Linked DNA regions of Drosophila melanogaster. The protein of the gene in region 1 interacts with the protein of each later gene in a pairwise test. Each region holds a gene or a part of one and is shown on either strand. Other genes may lie near its edges. The genes, in order: Gapdh2 and CG11961.

Evidence for each region.
Region 2: the proteins of Gapdh2 (region 1) and CG11961 interact in a two-hybrid assay, tested with the Drosophila melanogaster proteins (one large-scale study listed by BioGRID).

Annotation. Positions count from the first base shown.
Region 1 is NC_004354.4:15,866,290-15,870,199, reverse strand, and holds Gapdh2 (glyceraldehyde 3 phosphate dehydrogenase 2), read right to left. Parts: upstream 2,056-3,910; 5' UTR 1,957-2,055; intron 1,883-1,956; 5' UTR 1,865-1,882; coding exon 866-1,864; 3' UTR 539-865; downstream 1-538.
Region 2 is NT_033778.4:19,356,136-19,363,749, forward strand, and holds CG11961 (uncharacterized protein), read left to right. Parts: upstream 1-2,180; 5' UTR 2,181-2,260; coding exon 2,261-2,365; intron 2,366-3,050; coding exon 3,051-3,709; intron 3,710-3,773; coding exon 3,774-4,134; intron 4,135-4,193; coding exon 4,194-4,577; intron 4,578-4,631; coding exon 4,632-4,812; intron 4,813-4,875; coding exon 4,876-5,204; intron 5,205-5,261; coding exon 5,262-5,361; intron 5,362-5,420; coding exon 5,421-5,523; intron 5,524-5,585; coding exon 5,586-5,778; intron 5,779-5,834; coding exon 5,835-5,927; intron 5,928-5,988; coding exon 5,989-6,156; 3' UTR 6,157-6,989; downstream 6,990-7,614.

The DNA.
Region 1 (3,910 bases):
TCTGAAAATTAGTGTGCCCGTGTGAGAAAATTAATCGAAAAGACGGTATAGCAAGCGATTAAATATCGATAACGATATAATGGTGAAGTGCTGTTGAAATGATGCAGTCAACCAAAATATTTGATTATATTTGCCAATTATGCAAATATAAATCGGCAGAGAAACATTATTTTCTCAGAAATGTATCCAAAAAGCCAGGCTTACACAGACAATATGCCACCGTTAGTCTCTCCAAATATCGATAACTTCTGTTTATACATTGCTTCAACTGAAGGGTTTAAGGTCGCTCTTATCGAAATCTGTAAAAGCCCGATTTTTGCCGATAACAATACCATAGAATCAGGCTCATTTAAAATTATTTGAAAACTTTAACAAGTTATGTAATCATTCAAAAACCAATCGACTTAAAAAAAATATCGACACATTTCTGTTATATATATATTACTTCCAAATATAGCAAATGAAAAAAACAATTTAAAGTAATACTCATACTATTTTAGGTATTTCAACGGTTTATACCAAATAAAAAGGCAAAAATAAATATTTAAATGCTTATGAGTCGGCATTTTTAAAACTACACACAGAGTGAAACTTTATTCAACAACAGTAAACATATTTATGTGTATAATGGATGTATTATATTAATAATTTTCCAATGTGGCTGGTAATTGAAGAGCGAAAACAGTAGCATTTCAGAGCATAGCGCATATGTATGTAGGTGATGCTCCACCGGGGAGCAATATATATATAAGTTATGTGATGCCATTTTCAGGCCGTTTCTGAAGTGTCTCACCCCATTCTACCGCGCCCTAATCTTTAACTTTTACGTAGAGTGTGGGTGGGTAGTGTTCTTGGTGTTCCACATTTAATCCTTGCTCTGCATGTACTTGATCAGGTCGATGACGCGGTTGGAGTAGCCAAACTCGTTGTCGTACCAAGAGATCAGCTTCACGAACTTGTCGTTTAGCGAAATGCCAGCCTTGGCATCGAACACCGACGAGTGGGTGTCGCTGAGGAAATCGGTAGAAACGACCTCCTCATCGGTGTATCCCAGGATACCCTTCAGGGGTCCGTTGGCGGCCTCCTGAACCTTGGCCTTAATTTCATCATAGGACGCACCCTTGCCCAAGCGCACGGTCAAATCGACCACGGAAACGTTGGGAGTGGGCACACGGAATGCCATTCCGGTGAGCTTACCGTTGAGGGCGGGGATAACCTTGCCCACGGCCTTGGCAGCTCCAGTGGAAGCTGGAATGATGTTCTGGGCAGCGCCACGTCCATCACGCCACAACTTGCCGGAAGGTCCATCGACGGTCTTCTGGGTAGCGGTGGTGGCATGAACGGTGGTCATCAGACCCTCGACGATCTCGAAGTTGTCGTTGATCACCTTGGCCAGAGGAGCCAAGCAGTTGGTGGTGCACGATGCGTTGGAGACCACCTTCATGTCGGGCTTGTAGGCATCCAAGTTGACGCCGCAAACGAACATGGGAGCATCGGCGGATGGGGCCGAGATGATAACCTTCTTGGCACCGCCCTTCAAGTGAGTGGATGCCTTGTCGATGGTGGTGAACACGCCAGTGGACTCCACGATGTATTCGGCACCAGCGCTGGCCCAGTTGATGTTGGCCGGGTCGCGTTCGCTGAAGACGGTGATCTTCTGGCCGTTGACCACCAGGAAACCGCCCTCGGCGGCAACGGTGCCCTTAAAACGTCCGTGGGTCGAATCGAACTTGAACAGGTAGACCATGTAGTTCACATCGATGAAGGGATCGTTGACGGCCACAACGTTGGCGCCCTTATCAATGGCGGCGCGGAGAACCAAGCGGCCGATGCGACCAAATCCATTGATACCAATCTTCGACATGGTTAACTTTTTGTTTATCTGGAAAGTAATGTATGTATATGTAAAGCAGTTAGTACTTGGAAAGTTTTCCGCGGAATTGAGGGAAACACTACCTATCGGCTTGCTTGCAAGGAATCGACTGTGATGGCTGAGAAATTTTGAGCGCTTTCTATGGGCGAAAACTCGGGCGAAAAATTGTTCAAAGTCAGATGAAGGACGTGCATGTCAAGCTCGAGAGCGGCTACCGCAATAAAAAAGAGCTTTTGCTCTCAGTAACGTGAAAGCTCAATGCTACCCAATAGACTTTTTGCAAGCATCATTATATGAATATAATAAGTAGATATGTACATAAGATACGCTTAACTTTAAAAACTTCTGATCTTAGACAGTTAAAGTGACCTATAAAGTATATGGATTTTTTAATTTATACGGACAAATGTTTATTGGGATATTTTTATGGCCATTTCACCTGCTCAATTTTGTTGACGGAAGTTGAGCTTTCTTGTGAGCTTAGTTGCCGGCAATTACATACGTGCATATATAGGCACACGAAACATACACATATATGAGCACGTCTGATGAACATCAATTGGTTATATTGTACATAAATATGTACATAAGTAAATGCAAATGGAAAAATCCTAACATCCCCACATAAATACATATTCATCAATTTCATTAATATTAAAATTTAGAGGTCATATTCTGAGCAAATTGAAGTTTCGCCGGTACGTGACATTAATCTGTACAATACATGTACATATGTACAAAGATACATATACATGTAAATATGTATATATCTTCTATGCATAACTACAATATTAGATGAAATAATTGTCTAAGTAATTAAATTATCCGTTTTGATGATTTCATTTAAGCAATTGTGCTGTTGTCATCCCATTGTTAAAATGAAAAACACCTGACAGCTCAAGTAGGCATCCAAATTTCATGAATTTTAAACGCTAATGGTAATAAATAGTGTTAGTCACAAAATTCCATGTACCCATAACAACGAAATTGTATAACTTTATGATGAAAACTAAGTGAATGTGACCTTTTGAGTCACGCAGAATTCATTTACCTTTTTTTATTATATATAAACATGTATATACATATGTTCTTAAAATCAGCAGATCCCGTTTATATAAATATTAAAACATATGTATACGAACGATATATAATCAAAATCAATTAATTTGGGAGTATTTTATTCATACAATCATTTGTAGTAAAAAAAAAGGTATCTGCAAATTAATCATTTCTCCTTCCCCAAACTGAATAATCGATATTGTAATCATTTAACATTCTTTTTATTCTTTTCATTCTTTTTATATATTTATCGATTTGTTTTCAGTGCAACCCTTAATTATGAACATAGCAGTGAAAATTCAAATAAGCGCGCCAACATTAAAATGTTGAAATATGCAATTTGACAAGAACTCAACATTTCTGTTGCCTTATCTTTTACATTTTATAAATTATTTCTCGAATAAGTATTAAATATTTTAGTGCGTCATGTTTATTTATTAATACTTGGGCTGGGCAAAAAAGTTCGTTCCTTTTCAGTGAGTCATCGGTTTTACTGATAAGCAAACATTTCACTTGTTTTTTAACCTCTCATCTTTATATTGTTGAAACGATAAATGTATTTCAGCTTGGTGCTAAATTATTGCAGCAAAGTCAAAAACAATGCTTACATCTTACCATTAAGATCCATTGAAAGATGACTTCTAGATTTATACATTACCGAAAAAAAGGATCCGATTAGAAAAGTATCCCTGAAAGTGAATAAAACACCTGCCAATGTTGTGGAAGTCTTACTGTCCTTCGAGTTTGTGGGGTTATTGCCTTTTATGCTAACATCCCAGGATGACTTCCTAACCTAGAAACCCCATTACAGATAGAAGCTTCTTGACGTCACGAGCTGAAGTAGGCTATCTATGTTTATTTCTCTATATAAAGAAGGATAGTTCGCCTTTCTATGCGTACTATATCAGAAGATATATCTCTGGATCTGGTCAAAGATATCACAATTATGACTGTTGGAAATTAACTACAATTAATACC
Region 2 (7,614 bases), on another chromosome or scaffold:
TGACTCGCCTCCGTAAAGCAGGCAAGCATTTCACGTGTTTTTTGCCCCAACAATCCCGCGGCTGTTACTCACAAATTCAGTACGGTTTCTTCCGCTCGCTCCGCATACGATTTGCATTCGCTGGGTGCTTTCCTTTCTGTTATTCTTTTTTTTTATTAAAAATTATATAATTTTATTTTTAGCTAGGCAAACGGAACAGGCAGAGAGATAGACGCACACATACACACACGCGCGCACATAGATACGCGGCCCCTTTCTTTACTCCAAGCACATTTTTAGTACCGTTAGGGATCCCACTTTGAGTCCTAATTTATTTTTTTTTTTCGTTCTGCTTAAATTTGTTCCTAGGCAGCGAGCACGACCAAAAGCTTCGAGCGTTGAAACGCGACTGAGACTTTAGTAACAGCGGGACAAGCGGCTCAACTGAACGATGGAGAAAGTGGGATAGAGAGAGAGAGAGAGAGGAAGAGAGAGAGTGGGTGGAGCGGCACCACCAAAATGAACGTGCTAGGAAGATAGGCGTTGAATGGGTGGTGATGGTGGGTACGCAAAGCACGAGGACGCGCGAATTTGTGTCGAAAAGGCGGGCGAAGAAGCAGCTGACACATATTTCGCTTTGTTTTGGTTGTGTCCCCAAACCGGCAATTGCTCTCACACGCATGCGTACTTTCTGCGTTCTCTCGCTTTCCGTTCGACTAAAACTAGCCACAAAAGACGGCCAAAACTAGCTGGTCAGTGTTTTCGTAGCTCTGATTGTGAAACTCTCACGGAATTCCCATACACTTGTTCCTGGGCGTTCATTCTATCGATTATCCTTTCGGTCCGTGTTCCGGTGAACGCTTTGTTTACGAATTTCAGTGCCACAAGGCATCAATGAAGAAGTGAGTGCGGGAGTCAGTGTATTAGTGAGTGAATGAATTCGCGAGAGCAATTGGCACACACACACAAACACACATAGGTTACACCCACTCGGGCATTCCTTATTTAGGTTGAATGACACTGCGCCTAAGTGCCCCTTCCTGCACCTCCCCCGCCTTTATTGCATTTCCCGTTTTATGGCACATGTTTTCCACGTTGTCCTCAATTCCAAACGGGATGCTCCCGCTGCATGCGTGTGTGTGCCTGTGCTTTTCACGTCATCGTTTTCTAATGCACATGCAGGCCAGAAAGAGAGAGAGACAGGCATGAGGGCGCATAACTGTAAATGAGCAAATTTACCGCTTTTAGTTGTGCCCTATCTTTTTGTTCGGCTGTTCGGTCGTTTTGCTGGCCAGTGTGAAATTGTTTCCAAATTGCCGCCCGAAAGTATGCAATTACGAATCAGATAAGAACCGCTTGGGTGCGATAGACAATCGAAACGATTGCTATCTTTATCGAATGTCGCACACAATTATTTTGTTTACCACACACACACACATTTGCCCAAGTAAATACGAAAATAATGCGCTGTGTGAAAAGTGTAAATATTAGCAACTAAGAACTGTCAACAAAACGCTGACCATTATTTTGAATAATTCAGTTAGTGCCGCAGCGCTTTGCGCTCGAGCGGTATTAAAACCGCGCTTCGGAAACTTTGATCCCACCATTCGGCGGCTAAAACTCGGAGCGGCAAAAACAACAAGGCCGGTTTCGCTACAATATAGATACGGGAAGAAGAAGAGCGCCTCGGAATGAGCAGCGAAACGGAGGAGAAAAGATCGAAGGTACGGATGCAGATTTAGAATGCAAAGTGCACTTAGAAAAATATAATGCAGATGTCAGTGAATTCATAAAATCGTTGCAAGTAAAAAACCATTCAGCCATTATTACTATGATAAATACAGATTGATATACCTATTTTTTCAATGTGTAAAAAAAGATAAGATGTGGGCTTGCACTCATAATGCTGCTGCTCTAATTAATTGATATATATCGACTTGGTCAAATTCAGAATTATGAATTATGAATCCAAGCGGAAGTTATGTAGGCATTTCTCGCAGTCCACTGTTAATGAAAATCCAGCCCCCCACAACCCCCTGTACCCTGAGTAGCCATAAACATATTTCGAACTATTGTATACGGTTCGTACGACGAACCGATAGATAAGAAACATTGTATCGTGGGCGAGAGAATAAAAAAGTTATTTGTCTCTGTGAGGGAATTTGAGACCGGTACGTTAGGATAATCAATGCAGTGGAACGTTCAGTAGAGCGTTGGACGCCGACGCGATCGGTTCATTGGGAGATCTTGACCAAAATACCGGGCATCGTTATCCGGAAACATGAGTGGCAGTGAGAAGAATGTACGGCGTCGCGTCATTACGCCGACCAACGATCCTACGAATGTGGATCCATTGCTACGACCCCGCGGTTCCCAGCAGTATGAGGTAAGCACCCACTTTGGGTCCTTGATTAGATTGCTCTTCAATTGGGTGTGGTATGTGCTAATCACCGCCGATCCAAACAGCCAAACAGCAACATGAGCATTACCCATGGTTGAGTTCCAAGGGAATCGACTTTTTTTTGGCGGCATGTACTTATCAGGGAAAAGCCGATAACTAACGAACAGTGGATACCCTTGAGATAGCAGCGCACCATTTCGCCCTAGTTGCACCCTCGGTTTATCTATCTGTCTGGCCTTAGTTTAGTGGAGCAGTTCCCAACACAAGAAGTTATACTATCCACCTGTGACCAATTCGATTTTCGGTGGCAACAGGTTTTGCAACTGGCGGGCTGACCAGCGATAAGATAACCGTTGATGGATTAAATCTAACTTTCGACTTGATACCTATAGTCGATTCCAATTTCGAAATTGACTCATGTCTGCGGCCAGACGTAGGTGTATCTAACTACGAAGTTTTGGGTAATATCCATTCGGTGTGAATAAAACCGTGCCGAAAATTAGATATCTTTAGGGGGCATTGGCAAGATTAAAAGATATACAATATGTATGTACATGCCTAGTTTTCGGAAGTCCCGTATAAGATAAGTGACCTAAAGCCAATACTGACATTGCAGGCATATTAAGTTGTTTGAATTTAATTGAATTAATCTTTATCCGCTTCATTTCAGGCTCAGCCCAATGGCTGTGAGCGAGCATTCGTCCAGGGAAACAAGATTAAGTGGTTCTGGGCACCCGCCTTCTTTGGATTCTGGCTGCTGCTCTATGTGACCATCTCGATACCCGCCTGCCACCGCCTTCCCCGCCCACTGACCATTCAGGATGAGGAAACGCATCCCGACCAGTTCATCGCCGAGCGCGCAGAGAAAAATCTACGGGAGCTAGTGAGCCTGGGACCCCGAGTGGTGGGCAGTCGACAGAATGAGATGGCCGCTTTGAAGATGCTCTCCCAGAAGATGCAAAAAATTCGATCCGGCACTGCCAACGATATTGAAGTGGATGTTCAGGTGGCATCCGGTAGCTATGTTCACTGGTCCATGGTCAATATGTACCAGAGCATTCAGAATATTGTCGTTAAGATCAGTCCCAAGAACACGAACAGCACTACTTATCTTCTGGTAAACAGTCACTATGATTCCGTGCCGGCGGGACCTGGTGCTGGTGATGATGGTTCCATGGTGGCCACTATGATGGAGGTACTCCGTGTGCTGGCCAAGTCCGATAAGCCACTAAAGAACCCTGTGGTATTCCTGTTCAATGGTGCCGAGGAAAATCCCCTTCAGGCCTCGCATGCCTTCATCACCCAGCACAAGTGGGCCAAATATTGCAAGTAGGTCAAATGAGTGCTTTAAATTTTGTCGAATTTATCTTATACTTTCATTTATCCTTTACAGAGCCCTTATCAATCTCGATTCCTGCGGAAATGGCGGTCGAGAGATCCTCTTCCAATCGGGACCCAATCATCCCTGGCTAATGAAGAACTACCGACGTGCCATCAAGCACCCGTATGCTTCTACAATGGGCGAGGAGCTGTTCCAGCACAATTTCATTCCCTCTGACACGGACTTCCGCATTTTCCGTGACCATGGATCGGTTCCCGGCTTGGATATGGCCTACACCTACAACGGATTTGTCTACCACACGCGACACGACAAGGCAGAGATCTTTCCCAGGGGTAGTTTCCAGCATACTGGCGATAATCTGCTTGCTTTGGTCCGACAGATTGCAAACTCTCCGGAGATTGAGAATTCAGCGGTAACATGGCTGATACAGATCTTAATGATAAATTACTAATTGCCTTTTTCTTTTTTCAGAAATACGCCAAAGGTCACACCATCTATTTCGATGTTATGGGTTGGTTTCTGGTTTTCTACACCGAAACCGAAGGCGTTATCTTGAACGTCATCGTCTCCTTGGTATCCATCGGGATTTGTGGCTACGCTTTTAAGCTGATGTCGGTCAACTCGGGCATAAAGCTCGAAAAGATCCTCAAGAAGGTGGGGCACACACTCCTCGTACAGATTCTATCTGTTGTTGTGGGAGCCATCCTGCCAGTTTTGCTCGGTCTGTTCATGGATGCGGTGCATTTGCCTCTGTCGTGGTTCTCGAACTCCTGGCTCATCCTGGGTCTCTACTTCACCACTTTCTTCTTCGGTTTGGCCATAGTGCCTGCCTTGTACTTCCACTGGACCAAGCGTGTATGTATAGTTTGGTATGATTTATTGGTTGACTAAAGCTAAATCTTTTTTCAGGATAAGCTTCCCATTGGTCAGCGGGTTCAGCTTTTGCTGCACTGCCACTGCCTACTTTTATCTGTTCTCACCCTGATCTTCACCATCTGTGGAATTCGCTCTGTTTTTGTTTTGATGCTCAGTTGCTTGTTCTATACAGTGGGCTTGATCATTAATATTGCCACCAAACTGCACACCAAAGGTGAGTTGTATTTATAAGAGTATGCTTAGTTTGATTTTTAATATGTCTTTTTATTCCCAATAGATGTCGCATGGGTCATTCCGCACATTGTTTGCACTGTGCCACCATTTGTATTCTTTGCATATTTCTCGCACGGATTCTTCACCACGTTCATTCCAATGTTTGGTCGTTTTGGAGAGAACCTTAATCCGGATTTGGCGGTGGCTGTTTTCAGTGTCGCTGTGGGCTTCCTCTGCTGCGGTTTCATTATCCCTGTTCTGCAGTTGTTCAACAAATCGAAGACCATCATCTGCGGCCTGATGGGCATCACGTTATTGTGCTTCATTATTGCAATGACACCAATTGGATTCCCCTATCGCCCAGAAACGAATGTCCAGCGTTTCGCTGTCCTGGTAAGAAACTACAAAGTTATATTGTATTGATAAGTAAAAAGGATTTCCTTTTTTTAGCACACCAAGCGTACCTTCCACGACGCTCAAAACAAAGTGCGCCGTCAGGAATCTGGTTACTTCATTATGCCCCAGGACAGACGCACTTACACCGTGAAAAGTAAGGTGGACTAATTATATTGAAAGGTTAATTCATGGAATTTTTTTTGGCCTTTTAAGATGCTGTTATCAACATGACACTGGCCCAAAGAATTGGATCCGATTGCGATAAGGAAATTAATTGCGGATTGCCCCTATATAATCAGCGTTGGCACAAGACCAGGTTAGTTTCCAACTCAAAAAGTTAGTATGAATTAGTAAACTAATACATTTGAGTCCTTATAGAAAGAACAGTTTATGGATACCCGCATCGGAACCTGTTCTTGGCGAGAATGTGCCAACCGTTTTATTGCTCTCCAAGAATACAGTGTCGCCCACCAAAATTCGCTATGAAATGCAGCTAAGTGGACCCAATCACATGGCCCTCTTTATACAGCCCTTGAACGGAGCAAAGATGATGGACTGGTCCTTCCATCAGGTAATTATTAAAGTCACATAAGTCTGAATTCAATGTTAATATCTCAACAACTACAGGCACCCTTACGTCTGAGCTTTGAGCCACCTTACTTCATCTACTTCTCGTGGGGTGTCAATGGAGATCCACTTAAATTCTGGCTAGAACTAGAGGTAGGTTATGGAAAACTCGCAAAAGTAATTTGTCTATACATATATTTTCCACATCGACCAGAAACCCAACGGAAATTGGAACTCTTCTACTCTGGAACTTGGGCTCGGAGGCCATTGGAACCATCACAAGGAACTAATAACGCCTGACTTTAAGAAGTTCCTCGACAGTTTCCCCCATTATGTGGATGCCACACCCTGGCCAGCTTCATTCGAGAGCCGGATCTTCTAGAGAAGCTATCTAATGTATACATTTTTGTACCTTCGTAAAATAAATATCGTAAGAACTTTGTTCTTGAGATATGAAAAACCATAATCATTGATAAGCGTCAGTTATATTGGGCTGTTCATTTATCAATAATTAATAATAACTAATCCCCTAAGCTATGCGGCCGATATCAAAGTGTTGCGATTGTATATCGCCAATTGAAAGTTACATAATTCCTAAACGTAGAATGTATTTTCTACATGATATGAATGTAGAAATGAGGACTGTTCTACCAAGAAGAGTGTATGTACTTTCGGTGTCCGTAAAATGAATGTCCAAAATTGGTATTAACTCGAATTTTATGGCCTCGTCGGGAAATAATCGGCCATAGATTTAGAATTTATGGTCCAGAGTTTAGCCAACTTGTGTCCCACGCAAAAATATAAATGGCGAAATCGCACATCGCCCCCAAAAAAATAGAGTATTTTTCATAATGTCCATTCACGGAAAGTGTGATGCAGACTGATTTTAGATTGCCAGATTAGGATTTGATAATTTAATATGTCCGAATGCTTATCAGCATGAATAGTTGAACATTTCCGAATGATTATCATTGAGGTAAACACAAATTTAATAAACGTGTGACCAAAATTTTCGTTTAGCCTGTAATGTTCACAGTAGTAAATCATGAGCTGTCCTATAGTACGTCCAGCTTAGACATATTTATTAGTATTTAGTCCCGCTATAAAAAAAAAACCTAAGGCAATAAGAAACAACCAGTGCCAGACAGGTATTCTTATCTGAGCCAAAAATCTAATATACAGCACCAAAAAAATGGTTTAAATTTATTTTGGGTCTGTGGGGTGGTTTACCACCAAGTCATTTAATTCATGAATTTTAATGCCACTTGTTGCATTGTCTTTAATTATTACTTAGTTATTAATGTTACCTAAATTGTACAAGAAAATGTGTTGAACTACTATTAAATGTATAATTCTATTTAATTTGTGTTCTTATCTAACTTACACGTTGTTAATTTATGTGATTCGATAACACGGTCCGTACTTCCCCAAATTAAAGAGAGCAAGCAAATCTAAATTATTTTATGTACGTTTTATGTAGATTTTTTTAGATTTTGGACCCCACCGAAAGATCTCCGCCGAACGTGAGTCCTAATCGCGTTAACAACGGTTCCATAAAAAAGTTATAAAGAGAAAATGCTTCTGGTATCGCCTATCGCTGGATGTAATCGTTTTATGCGCCGAAATCGACGATTATAATCATAATATTTAATTATTATCGCTGCCATGGACGCGATAAGAAATCTAACGCACCGGAGCTGGGCCCTACTTAATTCTTGGGAACCAGCCTGGAGCTTCTTAGTTGCCCAACGGCTGGGCCCTGGTACGGTTGTATTTCATAGTTGGTGATTCCGGTACGAGTCGCGTGTGATCTGAAGGTTAGTGCCTATATGCCTTGCCA